3 linked regions of the Pelodiscus sinensis genome follow. The protein of the gene in region 3 interacts with the protein of the main gene of each other region in a biochemical or structural test. Links are inferred from orthologs where the notes say so. Each region holds a gene or a part of one and is shown on either strand. Other genes may lie near its edges. The genes, in order: THBS1, SERPINF2 and PLG.

Region 1 (7,902 bases), on a different chromosome or scaffold from region 3:
TAACACAGACTGCATACTTACAGATTGAAAAATGTTATTAAAACTAACCTTTCAAATAAAGTTCACGGTACATAAGTTACAAAGCAAGGCACTATACATCTGGGGTCAAGCTTGGGTTATGGAAAGTTACAAGAATCAGATTACACAGTTTGTGAGGTACATATTATACATAGTATACATAAACAGCATTGTCCCAATCCGAGGTGTGGAGAGAGGTAACTAATGGTGTTCCCCAACGGTCCCTACTGCGACCAATCCTAGTCAACCTATTTATAAATTATCTGAAGAAAGGGATAAACAGTGAGGTAGCAAAATTTGCAGATGATACCAAACTGCTCAAGATAGTTAAGAGCAAAGCAGACTCTGAAGAGCTTCAAAAAGATTTCACAAAACTAAGTGATTGGGCAACAATATGGCAAATGAAATTTAATGTTGATAAATGCAAAGTAATGCACACTGGAAAAAATAATCCCAACCATGCATACAATATGATGGTGACTAATATAGCCATACTACTCAAGAGAGAGCTTTTGGAGTCACTGTGAAAACATCCACTTGATGTGCTGCAGCAGTCAAAAAAGCAAACAGAACGTTGGAAATAATTTTTAAAAGGATAGCAAATAAAACAGATAACTTCTTATTACCTCTATATAAAACCATGTTATGTGCCACATCTTGAATACTATGTACAGATGTGGTCCACTCATCTTAAAAAAGATATATTGGCATTGGAAAAGTTTCAGAAAAGGGCAACAAAAATGATTAGGGATTTGGAATGGGTCCCATATGAAGAGAGATTAAAAAGCCTAGGACTTTTCAGCTTAGAAAAGAGGAGACCAAAGGGGTATATGACAGAGGTCTATAAAATCATGTCTGGCATGGAAAAAGTAAATAAGGAAAAGTTATTTACTTGTTCCCATAACATAAGAACTAGGGGTCACCAAATGAAATTAATAGGTAGGAGGTTTAAAACAACAAAAGGAAGGATTTTTTTTTCACACAGCGCACAGTCGGCCTGTTGAACTCCTTGCCAGAGGAAGCTGTGAAGACCAGGACTTTAACAGGGTTCAAGAAAGAACTCGATAAATTCATGGAGATTAGGTTCATCAATGGCTATTAGCCAGGATGGGTGGGAATGGTGTTCCTAACCTCAGACAGAGGCTGGGAATGGGTGATGGGAGAGGAATTTCTTGATGATTTCCTGTTCTGTTCACTCCCTCTGGGGGATCTGGCACTGGCCATGGTTGGAAGACAGGATACTGGGCTGTCTAAACGGAACATTGGTCTGATCCTGCATGGCCATTCTTATGTTTGTAAAGCAGCGGAGAATAAGTGGTCTTGGGAATGCCACCCATAATGCTTATAGCATCACCGTCCATGGCAGTAAAGCACATAGGTACATGAGTGGAGTATGTCCCCGGGTCTGTCGGTGTCTTGTGGGTTTTCTGTGAAAAAGATAGTCTGTAAAGGAAAGGAGTAAGGGAGTGAGTGATTACCCTGATGTTGTCTCTTGTTGGTGGCCTTGTTCACTCATCCTGTGATGTGCTTCATGTGATGTGCTTCGTATGGATGTTTCCGGACCACTGGATGGTGCTGGATACCATCAGCTGTCCAACTATACTTGATTGATCTTGATCTTAGCCAAAAGGCCAAGAACCAATACACTTATTCCTATTCCCTATGCACACTACCACCCCACCACAGCTAAAGCCATAGCTGAAGACTGCTGCAGAGCCCTGGGCCAGAGCCACCAGGATCCTGGGTTTGGCAGCAGTGCCCTAAGGACCAGTAACCCAGGGCAGTGACAGAAAGGCCAGGGGAGGGGACCTTGAGGCCAGTGGCTGAATCCTCAGTGTGAGGGCATGCTGGGCACAAACCCAGAGGGTGCTACAGCACCCCTCAAACTGTACTTCCTACACCTATCAACACTGTTCTCAGTCTGGACTATTCTCAGACATGACTTATACATGCTCCATCATCAGCAATCCCTGGAGGTTAATATTACAGAGATATACCTATCTCATAGAGCTAGAAGGGACCTTGAAAGGTCATTGAGCCCAGTCCCCTGCCTTCACAGCAGGGCCAAGTACTCACCCTGATAGATTTGCCCCAGATCCCTAAATGGTCCCCTCAAGAATGGAACTTACAATTCTGTGTTTAGCAGACCAATGCTCAAACCACTGACCTATTCCTCCCCTCACACACATTTATTTATTATGGGTCCTTTGGTGACTGAAGAATGGGATCCCTGAGCCACAGGCTCATTCTCAGACATTGCAATGATGTTGGGAGTCAAGGTTAGGCCGCAACTGCTGCGTGACAGTTCTCATCTTTTCTGTTTTTGTGTGTGTGTGTGTGTGTGTGTGTGTGTGTGTGTGTGACCAAGGCCAGGGGATTTTCCTCAGAAACAAATTATTTCTTTCTTAACAGGTCTTTACCAGTTAACCCAGTACTGGCCTACTGTCTCCCAGTGTGAGGTGTCAATGTCATATCTCATTGGCTGTCTACACACTGGCATGAATTTCCGGAACTGCTTAAAACGGAATACTATTCCGTTTTCAGTTTTTCCGGAAAAGGAGCGTCTACATTGGCAGGCTGCTTTTCCAGAAAAGCCCTTTTTCCAGAAAAGCATCTGTGCATCCCAATGTAGACGCGCTTTTCCGGAAAAGAGCCCCGATCGCCATTTTCGCGATCGGGGCTTTTTTCCAGAAAAGACTACTGGGCTGTCTACACTGGCCCTTTTCCGGAACAGTGTTCCGGAATAAGGACTTATGCCCGAGCGGGAGCAGAATAGTTTTTCCGGAATAGCGGCTGATTTTGTACAGTAGAGCGTCGTTGCTTTTCCGGAAATTCAAGGGCCAGTGTAGACAGCTCGCAGCTTATTCCAGAAAAGCGGCTGATTTTCCGGAATAAGTGGCCCAGTGTAGACACAGCCATTATGTTTATCTTAAGCATGTCTTTAAAGCATTTCTTTTGGACTCCTGGTTTCCTTTCTCCTTTGGTGAGTTGGATTTACAGCAGTTGTTTTGGTAAGCATATACCTGTCATGTGCACACACAGCCCACTCCATCTTAGCTGGTGCTGGATAATCAGGGCTTCAATACCTGAAGAAGGTGGCCTCTTTGGGGACACTGGCTTTAGTGTGATGATTCTCACACTTTCTGTTGAGGATCTTCTGAAAAAAGTGCTGGTGCTGATGTTCCAGGTTTTTCTATAGGCGTTTTCAAAAGGTCACCCAAGTCTCTCAGCCATGCCTTCTGCACATAACATACACTGCACTCATACACTACTTGCACACAACACTGCATACTTACATACCCTCCTGACACACACTTCATATTACCTATGCATGACTTACACCTCCCTCACATACTATTTATCTGCACTGCCCACCAGAGACTATACTACATTCAAACTCAGCATTATTACTGGCAAGCACTAATTACACACTGCTCAAGTCACATATATCCTGCCCCCTATCCAACCCACTCCCACACATTTCACTCTAGCACACTCTCTGTGAATTTAAAGAGACGTGTGTCCAGTCTGCCTGTCCCTGCTCTGACCTGCTTTCAAATTTGGGATTGGAGGGTTGTTGTCCAGAGAAGATCGGTCACCTGGGGCTCCTGGTAACAAGGCAGTGCTGAAAGATGATGAGTTCATACCTTTCATCTCACCCACTCCATTGCGGAAGAGCTGCTGCTGCTCCCTCTCACGTCAGAGCCAGAGGACATGAATGGGATTCCAGACAGCTGGAGTAATGTTGGCACGGGACGGGTTCTGTGTGCACTGGACAGAGACACCGCGTACACTGGGAGAGGTTTGAGAAATCAATCGCCGCCACCCGGGCCAGGGACGTGCCCAGCTCCGCGCAGCCATTAACGCGCGTCTACTCTCAGAAGCGCACGGGGGACAGAGAAGACAAGAATGAACGATGTGTAGGAAGCAGATAAAAGAACTGGCAGGAGACTTTCCCCCATAAACGAATAGCGATTGATGAGGAATTTGGTGACACCATCATTCCCTCAAATACACACGGAAGAGTCGCACGGAAAGCACCATAGGGGAGACAGGGTCGGGAAGGGCGGGGACTAGTTTGAAGATGCAACTTCATTAATTCTATAAAAGGGGAAAATGCACTTTTCCCTTTAGGAATGATTAATTTGGGAACCATTTCCTCCAGGCCTTGGCGATAAGAATTCGCTGGGCGCCCCCAAGCGGACAGCTCGGGTTTTAACGCCGCGAACTTGATCCTTTTTGAAAGTGTGCCCAGGATCCAAGCCATGCAGCGAGTGAGCGCCCTAACACGTTCCCCCACTGAAGGAAGGCCCCTGTCTATGTCTCATCTCCCCACCCCCGCTGTGCAAATAGCCTGACAGAGACATCCAGGCGCAAAGGGGGCCCTGTTACCCGTAAAAAGAAAGTCACCGCGGCCACCCAATGTGAAGAACACGCGTTAATAGCGCACGGTTACTGTAGCACTATCACATCAGGAGATTAGCTCCTGGAACAGGAGCAGCGGAATCAGACTGGAGAAACCATCGCTGCCCGGTGGTAATTTGCTCTCCCTCATTCCAACTAGTGCCCGGCTGGTCACAGGCGGTTTATACTCCCAGCAATTCCCTGCACCCCGAATGAGGCAGGACAGGTCTGTCACAGCGAGGGGCAGAGCCCTCTGCCTACCACGTGCTGGGCGTAGAGAACTGAGGCTGGAGTGTGATCACCTCCCTGCCCCCCCCCCCCCCCCTTTGAGCGGTTTGTTTCTCGTTTGTTGTGAGGTAACTGGATAAACACCAGCCCGCTTCCTGCCCGGTCGCTGCTGATTGGCCCGCGGGACTTTCAGGAATGTGCGCGACCCCTTAAAGGCGAGAGCGGCTCCTCCAGCCGCTTCACTGCACTGGCCAGAGGCTGAGCGCCAAGGGAAACCTGCGGGGGCTGCAAGCAGCTGTCGAGCCGATCCACCAACCGGGACTCGCGGCTACTCACGGACTGCTCCTGGAACACCAGCGCCCCAGCACCAGGGACACTGACACTGCTCGGGCTGGGGCTTTGCTGAGTGTGTGTCTAGCGCGCTAGGGGACAATCACTCACCTAAGAGTCGTCAGGAGAATCCAAGGGCTTCCAAAGGATATTGATCGCTCTTCACTCAGTGGCTGCAGGAGATATTTCATCCCCGGGGTTATCTTTAAGGTCTCAGCATCTTTCCCTGTAAAGGTAAGTGCAGAAGCAGCACTTTAATTTCCCCTGCCACTTCATGTAATTTGTAAAAGACAAAATCTAAAGAGGGGGGGGGGAAACGCAACTGAAATTCATGGGAGGGGAGGGGTCTGTGTATCTATCTACACGTCCTCCTCAATAGTCCCGCTGCTCGCGCCTTAGCCCTTTGCAATACTTTTCATCTTCAGGGTACCTGACAAACCTATTGCTTGCCAGCCTCAGACTCCCCCAAAAATTCTTCTGGATGTAATGAGGATGAGACTTTCTTTTATTTTTCGAAGGTTTGTCTTGAAGACTGGTCTTTGCCATGGAGCTATCAGGCGGACTTTTTCTCCTCCTAATGCTAAGTGTCTATGCAACAAACCAGATCCCAGGTAAAAACAATTACTTCATTCTATATTTGGCAATTATAAAGAGATTTATTGGGTAAATATTAATGGTCAGGATTTTTTTTAAAGAAATCTGGTATCTTTGGTGTTGACTTTGAAGGAATGAAACCTTAAACTGTGATGAAGAGCTGCTTTGATATTTCTAGCCCACAAAAATGCATTAGCCTGGGGAATATTCAGATTAGTGGTTATGAACAGCAAATTATTTCCTCCTGTGCAGAATTTATGTAACCTTCAAACAAGGAAGGACTGAACACTCAAGGACTTCAAAGCAAAGCATGGTTTACCTACCTTTCCACATTATGCATGGGGAAAATGTAGCTGAGGAACTAAAAGAAGCAATCTGGCATTGTCCCCTATCTGGCCTGTATTGTGCATTATGTCTCAGCATAGACCTCAGACCATATAGAAACATTATTTATGTACTAACTGAGATCTCTATAGGTAATCAGTGAAAGTCTCACTTTAGATTTTTAAAATGGGATCTGATGGGGTGGACACTCTGCTCTCTTCCCCTTGTTCTTACTGATGTGCTTCGCTGCCTCCTCTATTAGCACTCAAAACACCACTCACTATTGTCCAGCTAGCTTTGTATGTAAGTCAGGATGTGCTTCCTAGCATCCCTACAGAAATGCACCATGCCCTTCTGTACAGCAGCCCCCCTACAGGGCTGCATTAGCTTCATAGCTGCCCATACTTGCATTGTTGCTATATCAGCTCCCCACCCAATTGGACTGATCTTCAACTTCCATTAAAAGTCCCTACTCAGCCTCAGTGAACACCAGCTCACAATGGGATTGAGCTACTTTCTCAGCCCCCAGCACCTGACTGCTCCCCCATCCCAGGGGTTGCACAGCCATTTGGCCCCTTTCTATCTTTGTTCACAATGCTTACTCTGGTCTCTCCACAGAGTCTGGGGGAGATGATAATAGTGTATTTGATCTCTTCGAACTCATTGGCTTCACTCGCAAAGGAGCCGGACGCCGTGCAACTGGGGTGCAGTTGGTGAAGGGGCCTGAGCCTTCCAGCCCTGCTTACCGCATTGAGGATGCCAGCCGCATCCCTGCCATGCCTGATGACAAGTTCCAAGATTTGCTGGATGCCATCTATGCTGAAAAGGGCTTCATTTTGCTGGCTACTCTCCGGCAGGCCAAGAAGAGTCGGGGCACCCTACTGGCTGTGGAGCGCAAGGACAGTTCGGGCCATATCTTCAACCTGGTGTCTAATGGAAAAGCAGGCACTCTGGATCTGAGCCTGTTTGGTGATGGGAAGCAGCAGGTGGTTTCAGTGGAGGATGCCCTATTAGCCACTGGCCACTGGAAGAACATTACCCTGTTCGTGCAGGAGGACCGGGCCCAGCTGTATGTAGGGTGCGAGAAAATGGAGAATGCTGAACTGGACATCCCCATCCAAAACATCTTCACCAGAGACCTGGCCAGCAGTGCCAAGCTCCGCATCGCCAAGGGTGATGTCAATGACAACTTCCAGGTAAGACTCTTTCTCTCAGTCAGCATCTTCATGGGGTTCCTTCAATGAGAGAAACCCTTAAAGGCACAACGTCCAAACCTACCCCCACTAGAGAAAGAGTAGTAATGAGAAGAGGAGGGTTCTGATCAGCTTGTGCAGGAAAATTGTCCACCTTCAATATAAATAGTCCCCACAATCTATTTGCATATTAAGTGAACTGCAGAAAATCCTCTTCAAATCCCAAGCTCTTTAAAGCTCTAGACTTGTTTTAGATGAGACCTGATGAAATTTCTCAGACTACAAGAAAAACTTGAAGTTTCTGACCCTACTACACTGATCAGATAAACAGTTGTCTAGCAAATTTTAGTAAACAAAAATAAAGCCTGGAATATAGAGGAAAAGAGGACATTGTGCATCTGTGGAGTTGTTATACACTGAGAGCTGGTGAAAAGAGTATTCAGACACAGGACTTGCTATCACCAGGTAGAAGGGGTAGTGAAGCATTCTGGACATATGCCTCACTCTAGTGCCTTTGAAACTTTTGTTGAAATTGAAACTGGCTTCCTGGGCAAAATTACACGTCTTTCCCCTATAGTTTCTACAAAACACTGTCATTTTCCCTCTGCCAACAGGGAGTGCTGCAGAATGTGCGGTTTGTCTTTGGAACAACCCTGGAAGCCATTCTAAGGAACAAAGGTTGCTCCAGCTGTAAGTCTACAACTTTTTCTGAATCTACTGACCTATTAAAAATAGGATTCCTCAGCATGCTAGGAAGACAAGTTGAGACAGAAGTGAAAGTATGCTGATATGAAAATCATTATTGTATAAG
Region 2 (7,956 bases), on a different chromosome or scaffold from region 3:
CTGGCTCTCAGCCCCCCCCCCAGACTCCACTGCAGCCCTGACACCCCTGGCTCAGCCCCCCCCCCAGACTCCACTGCAGGCCCTGACACCCCTGGCTCTCAGCCCCCCCCCAGACTCCACTGCAGGCCCTGACACCCCTGGCTCTCAGCCCCCCCCCCAGACTCCACTGCAGCCCTGACACCCCTGGCTCTCAGCCCCCCCCCCCAGACTCCACTGCAGGCCCTGACACCCCTGGCTCTCAGCCCCCCCCCCCCCCAGACTCCACTGCAGCCCTGACACCCCTGGCTCTCAGTCCCCCTCCCCCAGACTCCACTGCAGCCCTGACACCCCTGGCTCTCAGCCCCCCCCCCCCAGACTCCACTGCAGGCTCTGACACCCCTGGCTCTCAACCCCCCCCCCAGACTCCACTGCAGCCCTGACACCCCTGGCTCTCAGCCCCCCCCCAGACTCCACTGCAGCCCTGACACCCCTGGCTCTCAGCCGCCCCCCCCCAGACTCCACTGCAGGCCCTGACACCCCTGGCTCTCAGCCGCCCCCCCCCCCCAGACTCCACTGCAGGCCCTGACACCCCTGGCTCTCAGCCCCCCCCCCCCAGACTCCACTGCAGCCCTGACACCCCTGGCTCTCAGCCCCCCCCCCCCAGACTCCACTGCAGCCCTGACACCCCTGGCTCTCAGCCCCCCCCCCCCAGACTCCACTGCAGCCCTGACACCCCTGGCTCTCAGCCCCCCCCCAGACTCCACTGCAGGCCCTGACACCCCTGGCTCTCAGCCCCCCCCCCCCCAGACTCCACTGCAGCCCTGACACCCCTGGCTCTCAGCCCCCCTCCCCAGACTCCACTGCAGCCCTGACACCCCTGGCTCTCAGCCCCCCCCCCCAGACTCCACTGCAGGCCCTGACACCCCTGGCTCTCAGCCCCCCCCCCCCAGACTCCACTGCAGCCCTGACACCCCTGGCTCTCAGCCCCCCCCCCCCAGACTCCACTGCAGCCCTGACACCCCTGGCTCTCAGCCGCCCCCCCCCCAGACTCCACTGCAGCCCTGACACCCCTGGCTCTCAGCCCCCCCCCCCAGACTCCACTGCAGCCCTGACACCCCTGGCTCTCAGCCCCCCTCCCCAGACTCCACTGCAGCCCTGACACCCCTGGCTCTCAGCCCCCCTCCCCCAGACTCCACTGCAGCCCTGACACCCCTGGCTCTCAGCCCCCCCCCCAGACTCCACTGCAGCCCTGACACCCCTGGCTCTCAGCCCCTCCCCCAGACTCCACTGCAGCCCTGATACCCCTGGCTCTCAGCCCCCCCCCCAGACTCCACTGCAGGCCCTGACACCCCTGGCTCTCAGCCCCCCCCCCCCAGACTCCACTGCAGCCCTGACGCCCCTGGCTCTCAGCCCCCCCCTCCCCCAGACTCCACTGCAGCCCTGACACCCCTGGCTCTCAGCCCCCCCCCCCAGACTCCACTGCAGCCCTGACACCCCTGGCTCTCAGCCCCCCCCCCCCAGACTCCACTGCAGCCCTGACACCCCTGGCTCTCAGCTGCCCCCCCCCCAGACTCCACTGCAGCCCTGACACCCCTGGCTCTCAGCCCCCCCCCCAGACTCCACTGCAGCCCTGACACCCCTGGCTCTCAGCCCCCCTCCCCAGACTCCACTGCAGCCCTGACATCCCTGGCTCTCAGCCCCCCTCCCCCAGACTCCACTGCAGCCCTGACACCCCTGGCTCTCTGCCCCTCCCCCAGACTCCACTGCAGCCCTGATACCCCTGGCTCTCAGCCCCCCCCCCCCAGACTCCACTGCAGGCCCTGACACCCCTGGCTCTCAGCCCCCCCCCCCAGACTCCACTGCAGCCCTGACACCCCTGGCTCTCAGCCCCCCCCCCAGACTCCACTGCAGCCCTGACACCCCTGGCTCTCAGCCCCCCCCCCAGACTCCACTGCATGCCCTGACACCCCTGGCTCTCAGCCCCCCCCCCAGACTCCACTGCAGCCCTGACACCCCTGGCTCTCAGCCCCCCCCCAGACTCCACTGCAGCCCTGACACCCCTGGCTCTCAGCCCCCCCCCCCAGACTCCACTGCAGCCCTGACACCCCTGGCTCTCAGCCCCCCCCCCAGACTCCACTGCAGGCCCTGACACCCCTGGCTCTCAGCCCCCCCCCCCCCCCCAGACTCCACTGCAGGCCCTGACACCCCTGGCTCTCAGCCCCCCCCCCCCAGACTCCACTGCAGGCCCTGACACCCCTGGCTCTCAGCCCCCCCCCCCCCAGACTCCACTGCAGGCCCTGACACCCCTGGCTCTCAGCCCCCCCCCCCAGACTCCACTGCAGGCCCTGACACCCCTGGCTCTCAGCCCCCCCCCCAGACTCCACTGCAGGCCCTGACACCCCTGGCTCTCAGCCCCCCCCCCCCAGACTCCACTGCAGGCCCTGACACCCCTGGCTCTCAGCCCCCCCCCCCAGACTCCACTGCAGGCCTGACACCCCTGGCTCTCAGCCCCCCCCCCCCCAGACTCCACTGCAGGCCCTGACACCCCTGGCTCTCAGCCCCCCCCCCCCAGACTCCACTGCAGGCCTGACACCCCTGGCTCTCAGCCCCCCCCCCCCCCAGACTCCACTGCAGGCCTGACACCCCTGGCTCTCAGCCCCCCCCCCAGACTCCACTGCAGGCCCTGACACCCCTGGCTCTCAGCCCCCCCCCCCAGACTCCACTGCAGGCCCTGACACCCCTGGCTCTCAGCCCCCCCCCCAGACTCCACTGCAGGCCCTGACACCCCTGGCTCTCAGCCCCCCCCCCCCCAGACTCCACTGCAGGCCCTGACACCCCTGGCTCTCAGCCCCCCCCCCCAGACTCCACTGCAGGCCTGACCCCCCTGGCTCTCAGCCCCCCCCTACACAGAGCCCTGGAGCAGCCCTGGCCCCCAGCAACTCTGCCCCTACCTCCGTTTGCGAAGCATCGCTGCGGGTGCGGCCCCTCTCTAGCCCAGCCGACGGCTCTGCATGGGGCGGTGCAGACGTGTCCAGCCCACGCCTGCCGGGCAGTGCAGGCACGACCTTCGCTACCGCCCTTTATTTCTTTCAACAAATATTGACTTTGAACGTCCGGTTAAACATTTGTCCTGGGCTGGAGCAGTGGGGGTCGCTGTGGGGCTCCGGGTCGCTGCACCCCAAGGACAGGAGGGACCCGGGTCTGAAGTGGGGCCAGTGCAGAGTCCCCCCCCTGTGCCTGTGGGGCAGGGCGACCCGCCACTCGTGCCTCAGAGCCACAGGGCTGGGCTTTCGTAGCCACTCCCCCCCTCTAGTCTTAAGTTTTCTGTGAGAAACTGCAGCTTTCTGGCCTCTAACCCCACGTCTCCTCCGGCTGCGGCTCCCTCAGCCTCACCCGGCTCCTGGGGCTGACCCGGCCTGGCATTACTGGTCAGCTGGTACAGCCCTGAGCGAGGGCAAGAGGGCTGCTGCCCCTCCCTTGTCCCTGGGAGCCGCCCCAAGGCGCCATTTACTGGGCAGTTAGCCCATTTCACAGGCCATGTTCCATTTAGTCTGGTCTTATTGGAATCAGCATGACATGGACAAGTCAGATACTTTACGGGTGTCTGCTAGGCCAACACACTTCCCTTCACCACCACAGCATGAGTCTGACAAGCTGTTTGGCCATAAACGCTGGTTGAGCTGCATTAATGACAGAATCCTCATGTAGTTCTTTAATTACCGTGGCCGTCACTCCAGTGCCTTGGCTGTGACTGACATCCTGACTGGTCAACTCAGTTGCCCTTTTCAAAAACTGGCACATGAGCGATCTTCTAGTCTTCTGTCCCACTCCTCTCAAATACTGAAAATCAACGTTAACGGTCCAGCAGGCACCTCAGCCAGCTCTTTTAAAGCTCCTAGTTGCAAGTTATCTAGACCTGCTGATTTTAAAATACCAAACTCTAATAGCATCTGAACAGCATCCTCCAGGGTAACTAGTGGAACGGAAAGAGTTTTATCATCCACCAATCAAGACTGCATTATGTCCACCCCCCCCCCGCCCCGCAACATAGAACAGAAATACTAATTGAAAATGGCATTTTTTGTATTAAGAATTCTGCCATTTTCATATACTAATGTACCAATATCATTGTAAACATTCATTTCCACCCCACCCACCCCCATTTATTTAAAAAACACCTTCCTGTCCATTGATCTCTCCTTGCAGCCCTTGGCTTCCCTTATCAATTTTCTACAGTTACTGCCTTCAAATTCATATTAAACTGTTAATAGCTTTCCCTTTTCTTCCATCTGTTACATTTTGTTGTCGGGATTTTCTGTTGGTTTTGTTTTTGAACTTTATACAATTGCCTATATTCCTCTCTAGCCCAGGTGACTTTTTTAATCAGCACAGCCCTTTTCCTTGTTTGTGGGGGGGGGAGGAGGAGGAGAAAGGACATTGAGGAAGATGTTCTTAAGAGTCCTATTTTATCATTCACTTCTTTTCTGATCAAATTCTTCCTCACAAGTGTTTGGCTCATGCTTGTTTTCAGCTTTGTGAAACTGGCCCTATTAGAGCACCAGGAATATAGATTATGGGTCTGGTGTTTTTCCTCTTTGCACATTATAAATGTGAAAAGTTATAATCACCGCTACCTAAGCTACCATTTAACTTTTAGTTCTGTGATCCGTTCCTCTCTATCAGGGAGGACAAGGTCTAACATAGAATTGACCCATGTTGACTGCAGCACTTTTTTGGGGCAGGAATGTTTAGAAAGTCCAAGGATGTTTTAGGCCTGGCTGCATGAGAGCACCAGCATGTATCACTCTGTGAAGGCCCCCACGCTCACGAGTGTTTTTCCCCATTCCCGCCCACCCATCCCCCACAGCAGCACACACAGAAAGGCTCCTCTCATGGTCTCTTTATTAGAAGAAATATTTACATCTATTGCAAAGAGTTAATAGGCAACAAGGGACAGAGCCCCCCCCAGGCGAGGGGCAGCGAGGGACTAAGTGCTCAGCCCCCTTCTGTGGGGAGTAGAGACCCCCAAAGGCTCCCAGCCTGGCAGAGTGCCAGCCCCCCCCAGTGCCTGGGAGGGACGTGCATGGTTAACCCCATGGCACAGGCTGGCCCTGACCCCGCCTGCCCAGCACCATTCTGCAAAGGCTCAGAGCGGGGCGGGCAGGCAGGCCCAGGGAGCCCCCGCAAGGGCACAGAGAGGGCCGGTCTCCGGCAGGAGGGGGCATCCTGGGGCCGAGGGCAGCACCGAGTGGCAGGCCTGTGGGGTCCCGCCCGCTAGGGTAGAGCGAGAGGCAGGACAGCAAGGAAGGGCTCAAGCCACCCCCACCCCGAGCCTCAACTCCGCCCAGCACTGAGGGGGCTGCTCCCAGCACAGCAGGCAAAAGAAATCCCCTCTGGCCTCTGCCTCTGGGGGGCAGACGTTCCTCCCCCTCCCCCACCAGGGGGCCTGGCTAGGAGCACCCCCCACCAAATCTAGTTCCTGCCCCCTGGCCGCTGGGGCAGGTGCATTCCCACCCCCGACCGAGGGCGGGCAGCAGGTGGTGGCTGCCTTGGGTAGAGAGCTGGCTCCACTGCCTCCCACTGCCCTGAGGACCCGAGTGCGGCGCTAGCCCGGCCCGGGGGGCTGAGTGTGCAGGGTGGGGGCCGTGTGCCTCGCCCCGCGCCCGGCCCACGTCCCTAAGCAGCTCAGGCACACGCGGTGTGGAAGGCTCCAGGCCTCCAGAGGGGCGACGCTGCCCCGCAACGCCCAAACTCCCCCCAGCAGCAGGCAGTGGAGGTCCCTCCGTTATGGCTTCTTGAAGGTAGGCAGGGCGGGGGATTTACTGGGGCCCCCGGGGAAAGGCCTCAGCCCTGCCCAGAAGTGGAGTACTGGCCTTAGGTGCTACCCCCCAGAGCTGGCCGCGGAGGCCCCTACGCCAGGAGGCGGATCAGCCCGTTGTCAGAGCCCAGCAGGAGCTGGCACTTGGTGGGCAGCACGGCCAGGCTGGTCAGGGTGCCGCGGAAGTTCTCCGAACTCAGCTTGGTTGTGCTGGTGGGCAGGGCAGAGGACTCCCCCAGGGAGTAGACCCCGATCTTGTTGGCCACCGTGCCGGTCACCACCTCGCTGCCATAGAGGTCGAAGGCGTGGACGGGCTCGGAGGCCGATTTGTACTGGTGCAAAGGCTTCTGCTCCAGCTCCTTCCAGACCGTCAGCGAGTGATCGGAGGAGGAGCTGAGCAGCACGCTGCCCTCTACAGCCTGCAGGTGAGAAAGTGCAGTGAAGCCAGGTCTGCACCACCGGAGCCTGGCCCCCGCCCCCCGGCGCCCCACCCTGCCGGCAGGAGCCTGTCCCCCAGGGCGCCCCGGCCTCTCTCGCTGGCAGGAGCGTGGCCCTAGGCTCCCGCCCATCTCTGGCTCACCGCGGACGTCTGGCCCCCCACGGGACCGTGCACGGAGCGCGTCTCCGCCTCGCCCGCCCGCCCGCCCAGCGCCACCCGCGAGGAGAGGTAAACAGCCCCCACAGGTGAACTTTGCTTAACCCCAACTGGGTCAAGGACACGCTGCGGCCCCGCTGCTGGGGGCAGGTAAATATGGACAAGAGTTACTCATTAGAACGGGCTGCGAGCGGCACCCGCCCACGCACCGCAGCTCCTGTGGCTGGGCCGCCCCACGGCAGCCCCCCAGCCAGCGCACCAGGCCCAAGTCAGCCAAGAGCTGGAGACTTGCGGGGGGGGCAAACGGGCACGTCTGCACCCACACTGGAAAGGCGGCAAGAGCCAGGGGAGCAGGACCCCCCAGCCCTGCCATCACCCCCGCCCCACCTCTCACCTTGAGCTGCAGGATGTCTCCCTCGTGGGCCGGCCACCCCCTCAAGATGAGCCCCGTCCTGGTGTCCAGCAGCACAATGAAGCCCGACGAGAAGCCAGCCAGGACGCTGCGCCCACTGGGGCTGATGGCCAAGCAGCGGATGAGTCCAGCGCTCACCCCACTGGCCAGCCGGAACTCGTGCTGCCGGGGAGAGGCAGGGAGCCCCGGTTACTGGGCACCGGGAGGGATCCCCAGCAGGGGCAGCAAAGGGAGGCCAGACCCGCACCCTGCAGGCAGGGTCAGCTGTGCGGAAGGTGCCCCTGAGGGCTAGGGACAGCCAAGCCCCCAGTACCTGAACTCCTGGCTTCCTGTGGTCAATGAAGCGCAGCACCGAGTCTGCGCTGGCCACGGCGATGCTGCTGTGGGGAGCAGGCATGGTGGCCATGGCAGTGATGGGGACTTTGCTGTCCGGAGCGTCGAAGGTCCGGAGCAGTTTGCCTTTGGAAAGAACAAGCAGCTCTCGAGGTGCACAAGCAGCAGGCGGGCGTCCCGGCTTGGGGCACCATGCCCAGACCAAAGCAGTCCCAGGCCTTGGGTGTGCCCAGCCCGGCACAGCTGCAGGGCCCCCCAGGCGTCGGCCGCAGGACGGGACAGAGCCCGGCTCTAGGGGGACACAGGGCACCCTGCACGGCAAGCTGGCCAGGCAGGACAGCGCCACTGCAGAGGTGCCAGCCAGCGGCGGCGGGCAGGGCTGGGTGCAGAACTAGCGTTGGCCTGGTCCCAGCTCTGCCACTCACCCCAGCCTGGCTTCCCCTCACCTGTGAACTGGTCCCAGACATGGACCGTCCCGTCGCAGCTCACCACCTGCTGCGGGGCCTCCAGCGGGCTGACGGAGAAGACCGACTTCCTGTGCTGCGCGTACGTGAGCCGCGGCTCCGTCTCCCAGGTGCCGTCCCCGCAGTTGTAGAGGGGCCAGAGGCGCACGGTCCGGTCCTTGCTGCCGCTCAGGAAGAAGTCCTCGCCGCCGAGCGGGGCCACGCACTTCACGGCCCCCGTGTGCCCCACAAAGCTCTGCAGCTTGATCTGGTGGAAGTGGAAGCGGGAGTCGTGCTGGCTCACCCCGATCTCGTACTGCCAGTAGGCCAGCCAGTTCCCACACAGCATGTGGGCACCGCGGGGCAGCTCCTGCCT
Region 3 (7,761 bases):
CATTCATTACTAACTCTGAAACTTCAGGGTAAAGGTTAAACTTAAAAGAAGTCCAAATATGTTAAGATATAAAAACAAACTGTATCCAGACAACCTTGCCTGTGCCCTATAGCAAGATTATGCAATAACGATACAATTCTGATTAAGGCATTTTAATGTCAATGGTCCAAAATTAGATTAAATTAATTTTAAAAACATTTGATTTTTTTTCTTTTCCCTCATAGTATCACTATAGAAAACAGTACTTTGAGAAAACAAGGAAAATGTATGTGGATAATGTTGAATCTTGTTATTCACCCAGCACTGTGTCTGTGTGTGATATGTACCTATTGCTATTTTTTTTAAGTCTGTGGAATTCTCTAATACTAACAAGATGTTATTTTCTTATTCAGAAAAGAAAGCCAAGATTCACATTTACAGCAGTTTGAGAAATGCCCATGAACATATTGGCAAGGCCAATGCTGGTTATGTTTCTTGAACATGTTGCCAACAGAGGACAAAATCTTGTAAACACCTAATCCTTTCGATTTTAATTGGAATTATACATGTCAAAATCCAGAATTTAAATTCACTTGGATATGCTTTAACATCAAATAATTACTATATTTTGTTATAGACGGTCCCCTATGTAATATTTCTAAATCCTAAGTCTATTTGCTAGAATCTAGTCACACCTTTTACCTTTGTAAGACCTGATTCTCCTATACCCCTCACTCCCACATAATCAGGGCCAGATTAAGGGGGGAAGGCTAGCTGAGCAGCTGCCTGGGGCACCAACCTATGGGGGTTAACTGATGGCAGCTGTAAGGGGTGCCACGCGCCCAGGGCCGGGGGCTGCGTGGCGCCCCTTAGAGCTGCAATCAGGCGCCACGTGCCCGATTGCGGCTGTAGGGTGCGCAGTGCTCTGGGGGGTGGAGCCGCACATGCGTCGCGCGCCCGCTGCCCGGGACGCAGGAATGGCTTGAGCCGGCCCTGCCCATAATTACAAACACAAAATATCCCTGATTTCTTCTATCATCTTTCCGTATGATCTCTAGCAAGATAAAGTTGTTACATAAGCATATGAACTATTGACTTGATTGCTAACCTTACTTTTAAAACCGCTATTGCAGCAGTTCATGTAGGCATATACAATGACTGTAGCAGGAAATGCCATCAGGTTCCGATAGCTGAGTCAAGTTTCATTTGTACAGCACACAAAGTACTTACTCAAAATGTCCATAGCACTTGCTGATCTTCATAAAAACAAATATGTATTTTAAAAGGCTTAACATATTGTGGAGCATTTCATAAATCCTCTTGGTTTTTATCTTTTGAAAAAACTAATCTTATGGCGTCTAGACGACTGAAGATTAAATTCCAATCTATTACCCCACACAAATAAGTAATAAGAAAGCCTCTTACAGGAAGCTGGCCACAGAAGAGACTAACATCTCCATGCTATAGTGGGATGCTTTCTTTTGTTTCTGCTTAAAAAAAACAACAACTTTGGATTTAATAATAAACAAAAAAACCCTAATCTGTAATACTTCACTAAATAAATGAAAAGCACCCAGCTTTGGGATATTTGATCAGACCTCGGGCCTGATCTAAAGCCCACTGAAGTCCATGAGAGTCTTTTCATGGACTGAAATGGCTTTTATATTAGGCCTGTATTGACCTACTTTTCAAAGGTGCTGAGCCCCTGCAGTTTCCATTGGCTTCCATGGGATTTGTGGGTACTCATTACCTCTGAAAACCTGGCCACTTGGAAATCTGCTCATAACACATTAAAGTTACTTGTTCAAAACAAAAACATTGAAGAGCGGGTACATAATTTTTCCTGGGACTTTAGCAAAGAGAAGAATCAATATGTCAGAGCTTTGTTGCCACTGGGCCTGTGTCAGAAGTTTCCTAATTTACACCATTTAGTGCTACCAAATCCTTTGTTTAAGGCTTATTGAATGACAAAGTTGCAAATAACTCAACATGAGTGTTATTTGTTCAAAGGGCTGCATGGTACAACCCAATCACAAAAATTAGCAAATAACCTAATGGTATTGAATCAGAAGAACAAACAAATCAGGAAATAAGACTTAAATAATATATTATACAATATAGTGTATAATAAGTTATTTTAAATGTAGAGGAGGCAAAACAAAAATTCAGCAGATTCTGGTGCTTTGAAGGAATTTAGAATCTGAACTAGGGCTCTGGATAGAAATACTGTGGCTAGTGCTTGCTCTTTTAATGGGAAAGCCTAATCTCTGAACTAAAATGCTCTTGAAGCATTTAAAGAGGTGAGATCCCCAAGGGGTCACAGGCCTGGCAATAATAATAGTAGTAATAATCAAGTCAGGTCACTGAAGGGTGCACTTTAAGCACTGTTTTAACAAAAACACTGCTCTCAGATTACGCTAGATCTCCAACCCCCACGCCCCTCCACCCCCCTCACACACATTTTTTCAGGCCACCGTAAGCAGTGCTTTGAAAGCATCTGAAATTGAGATAGAATTTGAATTTTGCAGTTTGAACTCTTCTTTAATACTAATAAATACTAGCAATAGCAATATGTCAGGACTGCAGGGCCCCCTTTCTGTAGGTGCCATGCTTTGACACAATAAATAAAGATTTGAGAGAAGTGGCCCTGGGCTGTGTGGCTTTCACACACATCTCTAAAGTCTAGAAAAGTTACAGATTTGCACTGTTAAATATAGAGGTCAGAGATTTCAGATTTGGCAGCTAAATACAAGTGTCCTGATTTGCTGAGTTGCTGTAACACCACAGCTCCCATTTTCCCCTCTAGTAGCTGTGGTTACTCAGCATCTCTACTAATCAGGTCCTTTGAATTAGGCACCTAAATATGGATTCAGGCACCCCGTTTCAAGCACCAAATTTGGAATTTTTGGCCAGTATCTCACTTTGATTAAAATGCAATATAAACAAACCTTACCTGGGTATAGAAATAAAAGTAACAGAAAGACGGCTTTGCTAATCCCCATTTTGGGACAGGCTGGCTCTGTGCTGAAAGCTGTGTTTAATGCTGTGTCAGTTTTATTGACTTGCACTCGACTTAGCATCCAGCAAACAAGATAGTCAAATTAAGTTAATCATTCTCCTGGTTCTGTGACCCACTCTGTCCCGATCTAAATGTTCAAATATTACCTTGAATTGAAGATCTTACAAAATAATGTTTCAATGTTTGTATTAGATTCTGGGAGAAGATGAAAGTGCTCTCCTATCATACAGGGCATGCTTTAACTCTGAAATTGTTAGGCCTCATTTTGCCAACCTAAAGACTGGGATAGTATTACTGAAAAATACAGAAAAGGCCATGGAGCAGAATGCACGTTGCTGTTAGTTTGGGTCTTGAAGGGCAAGGCCCTGACGCTAATCTCACACTGCTCTGTTGACATAGATGCAGTTATGCCTGATTTATACTGTTAATTATATTATATTGTCATACTGCAGTTTCATCAAAAAATCCCTCTCTCATTGTATTTGAATTTTAAACCTACTCTAGGGTTGGATTTTGTTGGTGGGGGTTACTTACAGAGGAGGGCTTGTTTTGTTTTAATTCCTAACAATGTCTGATCACTATTGACTTTGACTTTAGGTCTATGATATCTATGTTGCTACAGTTGGGCTCCTCCTTTCCACAGACATAGCCACACCCACACCAAATCTTCTAGCCAGTGCGCCACACCCCTGTCCCAGACTGATTTCAAACACTACCAGATTAATTCCTGCAATGCCCTTTCTCTTGGAAAAATTGCATTTTAACATTGTTTTGTAGCCTCCCAGACTATGTTGGGTTGGTGAGGGAGCCTCACCTCAAACTGTGGAATCAAACATGCAAGTAACTCAGGAGATCCTGAGGGAGAGGAAGTTCCAAACGGACTACGGATAAGGTGAGGGTATAAATAAATTAAGGAAAAGCACATGTAGATTGGATGGGAGCTGGATTGAACTCCACATGTGTTATTTTGCATAGGAGCCCTATACAGCCTAGAGCTGTTCCTGCCTGTAGTTCTGTGAAACACTCTCACTTTCTGGACAAGATCCATTATTACCCTGCTATAGAATTCCTGCTGTAATGAAAATTATTCCTAGGCCCTCGGTGAAATACTGCAGAGAGTAGGCTCTCATTAGAGAACTCTGGTAGCAGACTAGAGAAATGTGATTTTCATTAGCAGCAGGGATTAGTCCCATTGCAGGAGAAGATGAGTTGTGCAGGAAAAGATCAGTTCTGGGAGGTAGCTGATAATTACGTAAGAACATAAGAATGGCAGTACAGGGTCAGACCAAAGGTCCATCTAGTCCAGTATCCTGTCTGCCGACAGTGGCCAGCACCAAGTGCCCTAGAGGGGGTGGACCGAACACAATCATAGAATCATAGGACTGGAAGGGACCTCGAGAGGTCATCGAGTCCAGCCCCCCGTCCTCAAGGCAGGACCAAGCTCCGTCTACACCATCCCTGACAGATGTCTATCTAACCTGTTCTTAAATATCTCCAGAGAGGGAGATTCCACCACCTCCCTTGGCAATTTATTCCAATATTTGACCACCCTGACAGTTAGGAATTTTTTCCTAATGTCCAATCTAAACCTCCCCTGCTGCACTTTAAGCCCATTACTCCTTGTCCTGTCCTCAGAAACGAAGAGGAACAAATTTTCTCCTCCTCCTTGTGACACCCTTTTAGATATTTGAAAACCGCTATCATGTCCCCCCTTAATCTTCTTTTCTCCAAACTAAACAAGCCCAGTTCATGAAGCCTGGCTTCATAGGTCACGTTCTCTAAACCTTTAATCATTCTTGTCGCTCTTCTCTGTACCCTTTCCAATTTCTCCACATCTTTCTTGAAATGATCAAGTGATTTGTCTCGTGCCATCCATCTCCAGCCTCTGACAAACAGAGGCCAGGGACATCATTCCTACCCCCTGGCTAATAGCCTTTTATGGACCTAACCTCCATGAAATTATCTAGCTTCTCTTTAAACTCTGTTAGGGTATGTCTACACTACCCCGCTAGTTCAAACTAGCGGGGGTAATGTAGTCATCCGCAGTTGCAAATGAAGCCCGGGATTTGAATTTTGCATGAAGCCGGCCGGCGCCATTTTTCAATGCCGGCTAGTTCGGACCCGTGGAACGAGGTGTACAGCTAGTTAGGATTAGAAGCCTAATCCGAACTAGCTAGTCCGTGCCGCGTGTAGCCGCGCGGCACGGGGTCCGAACTAGCCGGCATTTAAAAATGGCGCCGGCTGGCTTCATGCAAATGAAGCCCGGGAAATTCAAATCCCGGGCTTCATTTGCAAATGCGGATGACTACATTACCCCCGCTAGTTCGAACTAGCGGGGTAGTGTAGACATACCCTTATAGTTCTAGCCTTCACAGCCTCCTCTAGCAAGGAGTTTCACTGGTTGACTATGCGTTGTGTGAAGAAGAACTTTCGCTTATTAGTTTTAAACCTGCTACTCATTCATTTCATTTGGTGTCCTCTAGTCCTTATATTATGGGAACTTGTGATGGGGTGAAGCAACCACGTCACCAGCTGCCACCCGGAAGCTCGGCCACGGATGGTGAAGCGGCGGGGTTAGTACCAGCCCCGCCGGGATGGCAGGAGATCGGAGACGGGAGGGGTCATCACCGTGTGCCGGTGACATCAGCTGACGTCACCAGCGCAACCGGGGCAGGCTGGGGCGGGGCACCCAGAAGTGGAGGAAGAAAGGGGCCAGGCTGGGGATAAAGGCATGGCCGACAGAGGTCTCAGGGGGGAGGAAGAGTTCGTAGGAAGGGGCGGAGGTACCGGGAAGAAGAAAGAGGCAGCCTAAAGCAGGGAGGTGAGGGAGTCCCCGGAACAGAGGGAGGGGGAAACGGGCGGGATTGTGCAGGCCCAGGGAGGGTCGCGGAGCCTGTGAGCAGGCGCGTTTAGGGGCAAGCCCCCACCTGCTTTCATCAGGAGCCGAGCTTCTGGTGTTAGGGCCCTGGGCCGGGGTCCGGGAGTGAGGGAGGGCCCGGACCCCCACCCCGCCAGCGGGAGTGGTGGCCGTGCAACCCGCGGCATTGGAGCCCTACCGAGGGAAATACACGGAGCCAACTGGGGCCTCTGGGACAGAACTAATGAATAACTTTTCTTTATTCACCCTCTTCACACTACTCATGATTTGATATACCTCTATCATATCCCCCCTCAGTCTCCTCTTTTCCAAACTGAAAAGTCCCAGTTACTTTAGCTTCTCTTCATATGGGACCCGTTCCAAACCTCTAATCATTTTAGTTGCCCTTTTCTGAATCCTTTCCAAGGCCAAAATATCTTCTTCGAGGTGAGGAGACCACATCTGTACACAGTACTCAAGATGTGGGCGTACCATAGATTTATATAGGGGCAGTAAGATATTTTGTGTCTTATTTTCTATCCCTTTCTTAATAATTCCTAACCTTCTATTTGCCTTTTTGACTGCCACAACACACTGTGTGGACGTTTTCAGAGAACTATCCATGATAAATCCAAGATCTCTTTCCTGATTTGTCGTAGCCAAATTAGCCCCCATCATACTATATGTATAGTTGAGTTTATTTTTTTCCAACGTGCATTACTTTACACTTATCCACATTAAACTTCATTTGCCATTATGTTGCCCAATCAATTAATTTTGTGAGATCATTTTGAAGTTCTTCAGTCTGCTTCTGTTCTGCCTATCTTGAACAGTTTAGTATCATCCACAAACTTTACTATCTCACTGCTTACCCCTTTCTCTAGATCATTTATGAATAAGTTGAATAGGATTGGTCCTAGGACTGACCCTTGGGGGACACCACTAGTTACCCCTCTCCATTCTGAAAATTTACCATTATTCCTACCCTGTGTTTCCTGTCTTTTAACCATTTCGCAGTCCGTGAAAGGACCTTCCCTCTTATCCCATGACAATGTAACTTACACAAGAGCCTTTGGTGAGGGACTTTGATAAAGGCTCTCTGAAAATCTAAGAATACTGTATCTACTGGATCCCCCTTGTCTGCATGTTTGTTAACCCCTTCAAAGAACTCTAATAGGTTAGTAAGACACGATTTCCCTTTACAGAAACCATGTTGACTTTTGCCCAACAAATTATATTCTTCTACATGCCTAACAATTTTATTCTTAACTATTGTTTTGAATAATTTGCCCGATACTGACGTTAGACTTACCGGTCTGTAATTGCCAGGATCACCTCTAAAGCCCTTTTTAAATATTGGTGTCACATTAGCTATCTTCTGGTTAGTAGGTACGGAAGCTGATTTAAAGGATAGATTACAAACGACAATTAACAGTTCTGCAATTTCCCATTTGAATTCTTTTAGAACCTTTGGGTGAATGCCATCCAGTCCCGGTGATTTGTTAACGTTAAGTTTCTCTATTTGTTCCAAAACCTCCTCTAATGACACTTCAGTCCAGGACAGTTCCTCAGATTCATCTCCCACAAAGGATGGTGCAGGTTTGGGAATCTCCCCAATATCCTCAGCAGTGAAGACTGATGCAAAGAAATCATTTAGCTTCTCTGCAATAGCTTTGTCATCCTTGATTGCTCCTTTTGTATCTCGATTGTCTAGGGGACCCACTGTTTTTTTAGTAGGCTTCCTGCTGCTAATGTACTTAAAACATTTTGCTATTGCTTTTTGAATTTTTGGCTAGCTGTTCCTCAATCTTTTTTTGCCTTTCTTATTACATTTTTACACTTAATTTGACAGTGTTTATGTTCCTTTCCATTTATCTCACTGGGATTGGACTTCCATTTCTTGAAA

The links.
Region 1: the proteins of PLG (region 3) and THBS1 form a complex in vitro, tested with the Homo sapiens proteins (2 studies listed by BioGRID). The link is inferred for Pelodiscus sinensis from reciprocal best matches to the Homo sapiens genes PLG and THBS1.
Region 2: the proteins of PLG (region 3) and SERPINF2 form a complex in vitro, tested with the Homo sapiens proteins (2 studies listed by BioGRID, with this or other methods). The link is inferred for Pelodiscus sinensis from reciprocal best matches to the Homo sapiens genes PLG and SERPINF2.

What each region holds. Positions count from the first base shown.
Region 1 is NC_134714.1:60,614,018-60,621,919, forward strand, and holds the start of THBS1 (thrombospondin-1), read left to right. Parts: upstream 1-4,880; 5' UTR 4,881-5,214; intron 5,215-5,498; 5' UTR 5,499-5,524; coding exon 5,525-5,591; intron 5,592-6,516; coding exon 6,517-7,094; intron 7,095-7,705; coding exon 7,706-7,781; intron 7,782-7,902. UniProt on the Homo sapiens protein: Adhesive glycoprotein that mediates cell-to-cell and cell-to-matrix interactions.
Region 2 is NC_134731.1:919,347-927,302, forward strand, and holds the start of SERPINF2 (alpha-2-antiplasmin), read right to left. Parts: upstream 3,091-7,956; 5' UTR 2,948-3,090; coding exon 2,931-2,947; intron 1-2,930. Other genes in the region: WDR81 (WD repeat-containing protein 81), read right to left, coding at 5,890-6,216, 6,787-6,966, 7,118-7,263, 7,584-7,956.
Region 3 is NC_134713.1:113,979,016-113,986,776, forward strand, and holds the start of PLG (plasminogen), read right to left. Parts: upstream 3,090-7,761; 5' UTR 3,060-3,089; coding exon 2,933-3,059; intron 1-2,932. UniProt on the Homo sapiens protein: Plasmin dissolves the fibrin of blood clots and acts as a proteolytic factor in a variety of other processes including embryonic development, tissue remodeling, tumor invasion, and inflammation. In ovulation, weakens the walls of the Graafian follicle.